3 linked regions of the Oryzias latipes genome follow. Each later gene encodes a partner of the first gene's protein in a complex. Links are inferred from orthologs where the notes say so. Each region holds a gene or a part of one and is shown on either strand. Other genes may lie near its edges. The genes, in order: nup205, nup188 and nup107.

Region 1 (4,242 bases):
AAAAAACGAAAAGGTGTCTTAGAACTCACACTGGGCTTTTTTATTTAAATATAACCTTTATTTAACCAAGTAAGCTATTAAGAACATGTTCTTATTTAAAATAACAACCTGCTTTTAGGGCATACGATAAAGAAATGTTAGCAGGTTATCTCACCGGGTTCCTGAAGAGTGAGAGAAAGTGTGGTTTGTGCTTTTTCAGCTGCAGGTCCAACAGGTGGACACTCTCCGTCTGTCTCCTCAGGATAGCTCCATCTACAGTCTCCCAGAGCTCTTTGAGTGGCCCCCACAGACTGGCTCCTGAAGGGGTCAAAAGGACGTTTACACAGATATTTTCACAATTATTTTTCACTCTACTGACGAGATGTTTGAGTTCTCTCCATATCAACACCCTCCTAAACTGTCACCCCCACAAACTAAGATGCAGGAACAACCCAGATTGAGCAGGAATAATGTCCACGTTTGGGCTTCATTTGCTTGATATGGTGGTCAGAAGAAAAAAAAAAGTCTTGATATTTAGTCAAAAAATAAAGGACAAAACAAATCAAAGTAATTCCAAATCATAAATTTTAAAGCACTTTGAGTTCCGCAATGTATGAGAAGCGCTTTTTAATAAATACAGTTTGATTTGATTTCCATCCAATTTAATCCTGATTATGTTGAAAAAAGTCTATTTGTCCTGTTAGAATTTTAATGGCAGCCTAAATGAGTGGCCAACACACACTATTTAAAGGGTTTCAACCGTGGAGAGGAAAGCCTGCTCTTAGGGGAAAAGTAGGCGGAAACCTCCAGCAGAGACAACCTCAGAAAATCCATCTTTTTCCTTTTACCTGCTCCCTTCAGAGATCATGACAGTAAATCTTCGTTAAAAAAAAAAAAAGGGATGAAAAAAAAAACCCAGAGGATCACAAAACCACAGCTAAGAACACGATTAAGATGGTAAAAAGTCGATCAATTCGATCAGGAAGTAAATGATCCGTTTCAGGTAAACTTTGTTTCTCTGATAAAGTTTGGCTTTATTCCAACTGGCCCCAGCAAGGCATGCCAGGTGTTTGCACTAAACATAGGATAAACCCTTTTTCCCCTTTAAATGATGCCTGAACAAATTAAAATGAGACACAGAAAAAAAAACAGTATAAAAGAATGTTTAAACTTGCTACATCAAAGACATTTAGATTTTTTCTCCCTTAAAATAAAATTCCCAGTTAGGGAAAAACCGTTTCTCTGTTAAAAGACATTTTAATTTACGGTTTTAAACGCCAAAAGCGTAAAATATATCTAGATTGTATCCATTTGGGTAAAAGTATTGGGCTGGACCATGTATTGAGAAGCGTATCAAATCATGTCAGAGAAAAAGATACACACCCCTAATGTAGGATTTAAAAAAACATAACAAGTTTAATAAAACAAACATCTTCCTGCCCAATCAGATTAATTTCATTCTTGAATCTCTCATTTTAACACAAACCTTACATACATGTCACGGTCTCAGACTTTTCTTTTTACAGAACATATAGGTCTTCAGAAAAAGCCACTTGCTTCTCAAAGCTTTAGTTTGAAGAGAAAATGACTAATTTTATCAACTATCTGCCCTGAATCTTTCAGTTTCCATAATGCAAGAGTCTTTATCTAATATTTAGAATTAATAATGAATGATCACTTGAATATTTATATATTTTGATGAGCAGAAAAACTGATAAACCTTTTTCAATGCATAGCAAGAGTTTAAACTTATTAGTTTAGAGATTATGAACATAACTAATTTGCCAGCATATTTTGGCATATAATCCATCCATGAGACGTTTATTTTCACATGAATACAAATTGAATTAAGTCGCAATATTGGACTGAATTTTTTAATTGATGGACTTTAATTATTGTCATTTTCTTATAACTTTAATTAACTGAACATTCCCGGTCGCCACAAGTCTGTCTTATGGCCTCGATCTGTCTTAACTTGACTAGAACCTGAGTCAAACTAGCTTCCTTTGGCCTGACATGATGATGAACGAAGCTAGGCTAAAGTAGCAAACAGTGCCATACTTGGAATGACTCAAACGGGTAAAAACGCGCTACAACAGAAACGCCGGACAAGGTTACACGAACCTACACCTAAATAATAATTAAAACAAACACATTTGTAATCAAAGGTTCAAAAAGAGTCTTTACCTAAATTTACCGCCATCTGCCCCGCCATGATCAGCTCAGGATCAAACCTGGACGTAAGATGCTGCGCATGTGCCCGTTTGAAATCTAACACGATAAATTGTTTAATCCAGAAGATATATTTTTAATTTGTTGATTATGTCACTCATCATTTAAAATTTATGTAATCAAACACATTTTTTTCCTGTAAAATATTCATTAAATATTTTAAAATAGGATTGTACTATTAGTGCAGGCGGGGTCCTCGGAAAGATTTGGGCAACCGTGCCCTGTGGGAGTTGTAGTATATAATGAAGTGTGTGAACACTACAATTTCAAAAATGAAATCAAGGAAAACATCTTACATATATTCATATTTTGTGAACTTGTATTGTTTAATTAATAGTTAATGGTAATATGCAAAAATAAGCTCATATTTTTTATTTAAAAAGCGACCGCTTTAGATGTGTAGATATTATTTCCGCCTTGTTTTAGACGGAACGATTGTATTGTTACACCACTCCTTCCACGCAGTGTGAGTTTTGACCGCTGTCACAAAAACACTTTAAATCGTCAGAATCTTTGCATTTTGAGTATGTGACAGAGGTAGACTGTTTTTTTGTGGGGATTAATAATCATGGCTCGGGTTGTAGAAGTATTTAAGACGATACGGAATCACTGGAAAAAGTCCACTTTAGCTGTGTGCGTCCTGTCCTATGGGGGGTATTGGTTGTATGGTAAACATTGGTGAGTTTTTATTTATCTTTGAAAATGTCATCCAAACTGGGTTCACGTGTGTAGCTCTTTCTTTATTCTGTGTTTTATGTGTTTCTAGCGACAGTCTCCTGCGCAGAGAAGCTTGTCAGTTGGCCAGGGTAAATGTGAACTAACTGTCCTTTTATTATTATTATTTCATGTGAGTATGCCTCTAATAATTATTGCTATTCTAGGAATTTGGACGGCAACAGATTGCCCCACAGGAGCAACTAAAGAAAGCAACTGTAATTTTAAATCCTGCAGCTTGCAGCGGGTAAGAAGACGTCAAAAATGCAAATCTGATTTCTTCCTTTCCCTCCTACTAATTATGCATTTATTTGTTATAATTTTCTCCAGGAAAGCCAACAAATTATTCGAAAAGAATGCAGCTCCAATTTTACACCTGGCCGGTGTGGAGATAAAAATAGTGAAGGTTTGATGGAATTTTGTAAACATGGCTTTGGTAGGTAGAAATCCTCAAATATCCCATCATGCCTTGCTGAATGTCATATCATGTCCTCCACAGACAGATTATGAAGGTCAGGCCAAAAAACTGATGGAGTTGTTGGAGCAGACAGACATGCTGATCGTGGCTGGAGGAGATGGCACCTTGCAGGAGGTCATCACAGGTTTGCTGAGAAGGCCGGATCAAGTATGCAAAACTAATAATGTAATTACATAAATGTTTTTAGGTTTATTTATAAGATGCAAACTGAGATATGTTTTCTGACTGCAGGATAGTTTTAGTAACGTCCCGATTGGGTACATTCCTCTGGGTTCTCACAATTCCCTGAGTCCGAGTCTTCATCTCCTCAGCGACAACAAAGTTAAGTAAGTTGAAAACAAAAATCTCTTTTTAAAATGTTTAAAATGAACTTGTATTTGATGTGATAAACATACTTTTTAGGGACATTACTTCAGCCACACTGTCGATTCTGAGAGGAGAAACTGTACCTCTGGATGTGCTGCAAATCAAAGTAATAAAATATTTTTTTTTCCTGTTAAAAACATGTACATTTTAATGCATAAGTTACTTTTTAGCATTCATATTTCCTACAAAAAACCCCTGTGAGTTTACGCTGCAGTGCTGACGTGTGTGTGTTTTTTTTGTAGGGAGAGACAGATCAGCCCGTCTTTGCTCTGATGGGTCTGCGTTGGGGGGCTTTCAGGGACGTGGCCGCCACAATCAGCAAGTATGGTTGTTTGGGCTGTAACCATGGTTACGCGATTGATCGTGCATACGAATAAATGGATTAATGCACTTTCAAACAGATACTGGTACCTCGGACCATTGAAGACAAACGCAGCGCACTGGTTTCAAACTCTGAAGGTACATTTTCTTCA
Region 2 (4,142 bases), on another chromosome or scaffold:
TCAACAAACTGGAGAAGGACTTGGTAGGCAACTGCCAGTCACAGTTTGAGGCTTTGTTCAAAGCTGAAGCACCAACCTGGGAAACTCATGGAAACCTGATGGTAATGACACGCATGAGTGTGTTCAGGTGTTAATCAGCTGCTTTCAGGCTGCAGGATTCAGTCTCCATTTTGCTTCTTACTAGACGGAAAGACAGGTGTCACGATGGTTCCTGCGCTGCCTGAAAGAACAGTCTCTGCTGCTGGAGATAATCTTTCTGCACCACGCGTACTTCGAGATGAGTCCTTCTGATCTTCTGAGTTTTACCAAAATGTTCAAAGAACAAGGCTTTGGTTTGAGACAAACCAACAGACACCTGGTGGATAAGAGCATGGATGCACTTGTTGACCGGATTGGGTAAGTGTAAAAGAGGTCAGGTAGTATTTTTGACTTTTTTTTCTTTGAGGATTTTTGAGTTCTTAGACCTAATCTTAATATTTTAGTTATAAATGTGGTTTAAACTTGAATTACTTTAAATTTACTGGTATAGATGACTTTTTTAGCACGTAATCTTTCATAATCATCAGTCAAAAGACTCTTCTGTTTATGTCAGGGTGAGTGACAAAGGTCACATGAGGATGTATGTATGTAAACATTTATCCAAAGTAACTTGACAGACAAAACAAGCTAATAATGACATAACCTTAAACAAAAACTAATCCTATCAGTCAGTGGTCCTGCTAATGGAGGCGCTGCTCTGGACCACCCAAGCAGTTTATTCCTGTCTGTGTTAAAGAACCGACCAATTTATGCTTTTTTTTTTAAATCAATTTATTTTATATATTTCTACACCAGTTTAATAGATTATTTGTGAATACTTTTCTAGGCAGACAAACGTGTGTGTTTCTGTCTCTCAGGTATTTAAGCTGCCTCATCCTGGTTGAAGGAATGGACGTAGACTTCCTGCACAAGTGTGCTCTGGAGGATTGTACTCAGCAGCACCAGTTCTCCAGTGCACCCAACATCATTAAGGTTTGATGTTAAAGTGCCCCGCATTGAATGTCCATCAAAAGCTGTGAGAAAGAAAGAAAAAGAAAAAAAAAAAATGCTTCTGCTTCAGGAAATGGATCAGCTTCTGCTGACGTTTGGTGACATCCCTCATCACGGGCCTGTGCTGTTAGCCTGGGTCCTGCTAAGACACACGCTGAGGCCGGACGAGTCCAGCCCCGTGGTCAGGAGGATCGGCCACACAGCCCTGCAGCTGGAGGTGTTCAAGTACCTGTCCAGCATGCTGAAAGGCCTCGGAGTCTTGGGGAATAATGTATGTAAACAATAATATGCACATATTTGAGATGGAAAAGGATAAAGTAGTCTCACTCTTATGAATCTTAAGGAAATAAAAATATTTTTTGTCTACATGTAAAAATATCAGATTACAATATTAAACTTAATTTCATCTTTTATATGTATTTACATAAAGACCGGTTTCTTTTGGTGAGCTTTATTTTTATTTATGAGCACAGAACAACTAGTATGGGATCAAATCCGGATCTGCTTAAAGTGAAGGAAACCCAGATTGTAAAACTTTAAAAATAGATGTCAAAAAAGTCAAAAGTTTTAAACTTAAAAGTACGCATTCCATCCATCCATCTTCCTCCGCTTATCCGGGACCGGGTCGCGGGGGCAGCAGACTGAGCAGAGATGCCCAGACTTCCCTCACCCCAGCCACTTCCTCCAGCTCCTCTGGGGGGACCCCGAGGCGTTCCCAGGCCAGCCGAGAGACGTAGTCTCTCCAGCGTGTCCTGGGTCTTCCCCGGGGCCTCCACCCAGTGGGACATGCCCGGAACACCTCTCCAGGGAGGCGTCCAGGGGGCATCCGGACTAGATGCCCGAGCCACCTCAGCTGGCTCCTTTCGATGTGGAGGAGAAGCGGTTCTACTCCGAGCTCCCCGCGGGTGACCGAGCTTCTCACCCTATCTCTAAGGGAGCGCCCAGCCACCCTACGGAGGAAGCTCATTTCAGCCGCTTGTATTCGGGACCTCGTTCTTTCGGTCATGACCCATAGCTCATGACCATAGGTGAGTATTGGAACGTAGATCGACCGGTAAATTGAGAGCTTTGCTTTTCGGCTCAGCTCTCTCTTCACCACAACGGACCGATAGAGCGACCGCATAACTACGGACGCCGCTCCGATCCGCCTGTCAATCTCACGCTCCGATCTTCCCTCACTCGTGAACAAGACCCCAAGATATTTAAACTCCTCCACCTGGGGCAAGGACACTCCACCGACCGAGAGATGGCAAACTACCTTTCTCCGGTCAAGGACCATGGCCTCAGATTTAACGGTGCTGACCCTCATCCCAGCCGCTTCACACTCGGCCGCAAACCGCCCCAATGCACGCTGGAGGTCCCGGTTCGATGAAGCCAACAGGACAACATCATCTGCAAAAAGCAGAGAGGAAATCCTGTGGTCCCCAAACCAGATCCCTTCCGGCCCCTGGCTGCCCCTAGAAATTCTGTCCATAAAAACAATGAACAGAACCGGTGATAAAGGGCAGCCCTGCCGGAGTCCAACGTGGACCGGGAACAGGTCTGACTTACTGCCGGCTATGCGAACCAAGCTCCTACTCCGGTCATACAGAGACCGGACAGCCCTCAGTAAGGCTCCCCGGACCCCATACTCCCAGAGCACCCCCCACAGGATGCCACGGGGGACGCGGTCGAACGCCTTCTCCAAATCCACAAAACACATATGGACTGGATGAGCGAACTCCCACAATCCCTCCAGCACCCTAGATAGGGTGTAGAGCTGGTCCACTGTTCCACGACCAGGACGGAAACCGCACTGTTGTTCCTGAATCCGAGGTTCGACTATCGGACGCACCAAAAGTACGCATTGAAAATTTGAAAGAAATATTTATGATTTCAATAAATAATTGTAAATTTTAAGCAAAAGTGTTTTCTAAATTTTCTTAACTTAAAATGTGAAAAAAGTATATTTGAAACTTGAATTAACAAAAACTATAAACTTATATACTGTACAGTTTATAGCACTGTTTACTATAAACTGTTACCAAAGGAAAATAATATTTATTTGCAACAGCTGCTATTTTGTACTTCCAATGTTTTTTTGTTTTCTTAGTTCTCCATTTACAGTTGTAATTCAGATTTTTCGCTTTTGGTATTGGCCCCCTAGTTCTATGTGGGGGGAGTGGAGCTTTAAGTCCATTATCTTCTGGGACATGATGGACATCAGATCAGACATCAGACATAGTCTGATAGAGGTTTGGTGACATCATTTCCCCTCCCAAACAGCGTTTGTTCTTGGTCACTCCTCTAATGCTGCGTACAGTTTTGAGAACGCCCTCTCAAAGTTTGGCACCAATTTGTTTTTTAAGTTTACAATGTGCCCCTTTCCAGTTTAGATCTGTTTTAAAATAAAAAAAATAATGTACAATCTTTTTTTTTCACTTTGAGATGATTTGACCCCATAAACTTGTACAAACAAAATCATTTGAATAAATTGGAACAATTTAAAAGAAATCTTATGGCAGAAAGAGGTTTGATCTGCTTTCATTTTCTCACAACCTTTACATTTCTCTACTTTTATAGAACTGTTTATTGTGATAAGTTTGTCTGCTTGTGCAAATAACAAATAGAAAATCTAAATAACGGTTCATTTCTGGGAAAATCTTTCTCCATCAAGGTCTCCCATGGTTTAAAATGCATGACTTGTTTACAGGAGCGTTTCAATAAATGTTATTTTTTTGTCTTTTGCTCTTCAGTGTACAGCAAGTACAGCAAGGATGTGCATCTACGGCCTCCTGTCATTTGTTATCACTTCATTTGAGGAGGAAAGCTTACAGGTATAACCTAAATTCATAGACATATATGAACATCTGTGACCCGCGTCTGTGACTGAACTGTCCGCTGTGCGCTTTACAGATTGATGGCGTGTCAACTCAGTCCTCCCAGCTGATTGATGCTGCCTGTGAGGTTCTTTCTGCTCCCAGTCTGGCAGAGGTCTTTTGGGAAATGGTGAGAAGAAATTGCAGAAAAAAAGAGACTAAACTTAAAAAGTGGATTCTGCTGCCAACATATTTTGTCTAAAATAATCTAGAAGCCAAACATGGGACTTGGGATGGTTCTGGACAGTGCAGCAG
Region 3 (4,197 bases), on another chromosome or scaffold:
AGGTACCTGTAAAGCGAGGCGATGAGTCTCCAGGTACAGTTCTCCTGCTGCAGCAGCCAGCGGACTCCTGCTGTTTTACTGTTCTGACCGGCTCTCAGAACCACAGACTGGAGAACGTTCACCTAAAACATGACGCAGAGCCGCTCAGCGTGACGTCCAGAACCTGATCTGCTCAAAGGCATCGCTCTACTCTACCTTCTCCTGGCAGAGGCTCTGATAATCCTCCAACAGGTCAAACACCGCAGAGGAAGAGTGCTTCAGAAAGGAGGCAAGGAATTCTGGGAAAAGACTTGCAGCTGCTGCAGAGAAAGCAAAGTCAGGAGAGGTTGGTTATTAAAAAATGATACGCTTTCTTCTTTAGAGGGAAATGTACCTGGAGATGCTGCTCAAACAACAATGAGGCTTTTTCGTTTCTCATCAATTATTCAGTCTTTTACTGTCATCACATCATAATTTCACATCAGGTTTAAAAACACATTTTAGGACAAGCTTCGAGCAGCGAATTTGACACCCGATTGGCGTGTGATGTGAAGGCATGAAAGTGGTTTGTTTTCCTCACCTGCATCTCCTGGATCGTCCTCCTTGAGCAGGGCTGAGCTCAGGTTGGCAGCATCGTCTTTGAAGAAGCTGGTGTTCTCCAGTCCAGACACGGGCGAGGTGTAAAAGCTGTTGGTCCAATCGCTGTCGTCCAAATTCTAGATACGCAATGGACGGGTTTGAGTTACAGACTGCAGCTGATCCCGGCTGTCCCTGCACATTAATCAGGGTCTCACCAGACTGCTGAGCGCGTTTCTGGGCGTGTGCATGAATCGAGGCGTTCGACCTCCAGGAACCAAAAGAGAAGAAGTGGCTGGAACCCTGGGGGTGACTGAGAGGCAGAGACATGAGGTAGGAATAGCTCAAAGCCTCAGATCTGACATGAATGTGAGCATCTCACCGGCCTGCCTGAACAACGAGGCAGGAGTGTTGATCAGGTGGGGGCGGGCTGGTGTTGCAGCAGAAGCGATGGGGCTGCCACCACTGGGTGACGGGACTGAGGCCAAGAGTCAGGAGAAACAAAGAAACTGTCCCGACATATAACTGTACACACAGACGCACAGAAACACACACAGCTACTGAAGCTGGAGGATACAAGCCACTTTCTTCCTCCTCCTGGCTGCGACCGTCACCTCCTCCTCTCGAACCACCGGAGACGGAAGCTCATTCTGACCCCTGGAGGTCAGAGAGATCAAAACAGAAACATACATTATCTTACTTGAAAAGCCAATTTTCTCCTAGTTTCATTTCAATGTGAATCAGGAACAGACGAAAAAGCGCCAAATGAAAAAGATAATAAATATCATGTAGCAAATATGCCGTTTGGGGCCACAAGTTCCATTCTGATGCATCCAATGCAAGAGAATGCAAGAGATCACATCACTCCTGTGTTGGTTTCGCTCCATTGGCTCCCAGTTGATTATAGAATCAAGTTCAAGATCCTCCTGTTAACCTATAAGGCCTTACATGGAATGGCCCCGTCCTAAATCAAAGATCTCATAGTTCCTTACCACCCAATCAGAACACTTCGTTCGCAAAACGCAGGACTGCTTGTGGTTCCTAGAATTAGTAAAAGTACGGTTGGAGGTAGAGCGTTTAGCCACCAAGCCCCTGTCTTATGGAATAAACTCCCAGCTCATGGAAGAGAGGCCGACTCAGTTTCTACAGTCAAAGTTAGACTTAAAACATTCCTCTTTGGACAGGCTTATTGTCAGACTAGTTAGTATTCAGAGATTATTTAACTTAATGTTAATTTGTTTAAATTAAACTTAATAACTTTCTTTTAAAAGGCTGCTAGAAGTTGAAGCTGGGGTAACTATGGTGCACTGGGGTTCTGTCCTCTTTTCTCTTCTACTTCTACCCTTCCTCTCCTCTATTCTTGATCATTATTCATCATTTAGTTCTCCATGCCTCTGTTTGGTGCAGTGTGATTCATGTATTGTCACTCTTTTCCTCTCCCCTCCTGGGGAGTGGGAGTGCTTCCAGACTCCAGTTGGATCATCCGTGCTCCAATTGCTGACCGTCTACCTCGCCTTTGCTCCTGCTCCTACACCTGGCTGTGGATCCTGCCTCTGACTCGACTCGCGCCTTTGACTGTCCCCCCAACCACGGCTGGATGAAGCTCGTCTGCTGGACTTTAAATGTGTAGTTGTAGATTTAGATAAGTAAATTCTTCTCTAAGAGTTCTGGTAAATCGCCTGTCCGTCCTGGGGGAGGATCCCTCCTTCATGTGGACACCCCTGAGGTTTCTTCGTTTTTCCGGAATCCGTTTTTATGGGAGTTTTCCCCTTAAAATTGAATTGAATTGAATTTAATCCATTTGCCGACAAAAATTGATCCATGAACGTTTTTGTTTTCCACGTCTGAGCTGGAATCTGGATCAAAACTGTACAACTGAGAGATCTCAAATATGGGTGACGGGAAGGGGGTGGGGTTAGGTGTAACTCAGGTGTACTAATCATTAGTACACCTGAGTTGAGGGAGTTTAATTAACTCCTGCCGCTCTGCAGAAGAACATACTACTACTAGTATAACTGTGTCCAAGAACGACAAGTGTTTGTCTTTTGGCTAAAAAAACAGCACAATCAAAAAAATAAAAACACTGGGAACGCTTTGAAAATAGATCAGAATTTAACCTAAGTGGGTCTTTAAACCTATCATTCATTATTTTTGACTAAACAGACGTCATGACATTCAGCTGACTGATTAGCTTGATGCTAGCATCGTTTGCTAATCTGACTCTTGTAACGTTTCCCGGAGACAACAAAAACGCAAAAACTGACCGATCGAACCGTACAAATGTGAACGTATCAGTGTTTCACAGCTGGTCACATTAATGACACAAAAATTTAAAATGTTTTACCAGTCCATGCTGGAGCCGATTCCCGCTCCGATATGTTTTCTTCTTCTCTGGTCTTTTACTTCTTCGCCTCTTCTCACGAATCTGCCTTTGAATTTAAGGTAAATCTGTCAGGCCTGTCAGCTGACTGCTGCCCCCTAGAGTTCACCATTAGATTACATCTATTTTTGAGAGGACGAAATAAAAAAGACAATATAAATATTAATTTAAATATTAATTAAGCATATACATATCTTTTAATTTTCACTTTTCTTTCAGTAATCCTATTATTTGTAATTTTGTGTATCAATTTGCCTTTTTGTGTTTTTTAGATTTATTCATTTAGTTAAATAGATATTCAGATCCACTATTTGATTAAAAAAGTTCACATTTGTGTAATTGTGTCATATTTACATTTTAAGTGATTATTCAGTCATTCATTTCTTTGGCCTGTTCAGCTGCTGAAAGACAGAGTTCCTTGTGTGTTGTACAGATTTTATGTTACAAAAGGTTTTCTTAAACACTCCAAACTGTTTAAACTTGTATTTTAATAGCTGATGTTATTTGAACTTCCATCCAGAGAACAGAATGACAAAGAACACATTAACCATATGATATGATGCATTTGATCTAAATCAAATCAAATAGTTGTCCTGCATTTTTTTTAAATGACTTTAAAGTTGTGCCTAATTTTGATATTAAATAAACAGGAAGTTTTTAGAAAAAAGGGTCTTTTTTAACAAGAGTGAACATTGTAATGTCAGGAAGGAAAATGTTTCAATACGTCTGATTTCAAAGATTGTGTATTATTTGAAAATTCCGTTTAAAAAAACATGTTGAAAAATATTTTTATACATTAAGATACACTTTATGTTCCCTACATAGAAGTTGAATTGTGTCGGATAAACGCTTTTAAAAGGATGTATTAGGAGTTTTTTCCCTTGTCAATTCCCGGCTGTGGTCGGAGTGAGACGTCTTTCCTAATAGACCATCTTTGTGCTCTGCCCTCCGCTCCGTTAGCTGCCGCTGTTGCGTGATCGATTCACGCAGCTCAGCTAAAGCAGGAACACCGGACGCTTCGTGGTCCGGTTAAAAGGAGATCTCCGCCGTTCAGAGAACCGGAAAAGGAGATTCTCACGGTCAGCAGCGGGTCCTGGTCACCTAAGAGGCCGGATCGACCCCCGCCGGCGGATCCCCAGCGCTGCCAGAGGGTCTGTTTGACCCGGGGGAAGATGGAGACCCCAGGTAAACTTTTCCCACTGCGTGGCAGGATTGGAGGCGACGGCCGCACAGAGAGGTCATTCATCAGATGGTCGCAGATT

Evidence for each region.
Region 2: nup205 (region 1) and nup188 share a complex: the UniProt entries of both Homo sapiens proteins name them as parts of the nuclear pore complex. The link is inferred for Oryzias latipes from reciprocal best matches to the Homo sapiens genes NUP205 and NUP188.
Region 3: the proteins of nup205 (region 1) and nup107 are in contact, whole or in part, in a cryo-EM structure (PDB 7WB4), measured with the Xenopus laevis proteins. The link is inferred for Oryzias latipes from reciprocal best matches to the Homo sapiens genes NUP205 and NUP107. Residues at the interface, in XP_041443600.1 of Xenopus laevis: Gly1247, Gln1248, Arg1249, Pro1250, Ser1458, Arg1506, Gln1507, Leu1983, His1991, Gln1995; in NP_001091312.1 of Xenopus laevis: Gln134, Glu136, Pro189, Tyr282, Tyr283, Gln770, Ser772, Phe773, Thr774.

Annotation. Positions count from the first base shown.
Region 1 is NC_019864.2:29,315,121-29,319,362, reverse strand, and holds the start of nup205 (nuclear pore complex protein Nup205), read right to left. Parts: upstream 2,271-4,242; 5' UTR 2,195-2,270; coding exon 2,167-2,194; intron 298-2,166; coding exon 155-297; intron 1-154. Other genes in the region: agk (acylglycerol kinase, mitochondrial), read left to right, coding at 2,780-2,889, 2,978-3,017, 3,093-3,172, 3,256-3,331, 3,425-3,550, 3,635-3,729, 3,806-3,875, 4,012-4,091 and 1 more. UniProt on the Homo sapiens protein: Plays a role in the nuclear pore complex (NPC) assembly and/or maintenance. May anchor NUP62 and other nucleoporins, but not NUP153 and TPR, to the NPC.
Region 2 is NC_019870.2:8,138,917-8,143,058, forward strand, and holds part of nup188 (nucleoporin NUP188 homolog), read left to right. Parts: coding exon 1-101; intron 102-184; coding exon 185-396; intron 397-896; coding exon 897-1,011; intron 1,012-1,099; coding exon 1,100-1,300; intron 1,301-3,764; coding exon 3,765-3,845; intron 3,846-3,924; coding exon 3,925-4,017; intron 4,018-4,099; coding exon 4,100-4,142. UniProt on the Homo sapiens protein: Component of the nuclear pore complex (NPC), a complex required for the trafficking across the nuclear envelope. Required for proper protein transport into the nucleus.
Region 3 is NC_019881.2:22,230,448-22,234,644, forward strand, and holds the start of nup107 (nuclear pore complex protein Nup107), read right to left. Parts: upstream 3,003-4,197; 5' UTR 2,908-3,002; coding exon 2,900-2,907; intron 1,213-2,899; coding exon 1,133-1,212; intron 1,034-1,132; coding exon 938-1,033; intron 869-937; coding exon 774-868; intron 696-773; coding exon 560-695; intron 300-559; coding exon 196-299; intron 123-195; coding exon 7-122; intron 1-6. UniProt on the Homo sapiens protein: Plays a role in the nuclear pore complex (NPC) assembly and/or maintenance. Required for the assembly of peripheral proteins into the NPC. May anchor NUP62 to the NPC. Involved in nephrogenesis.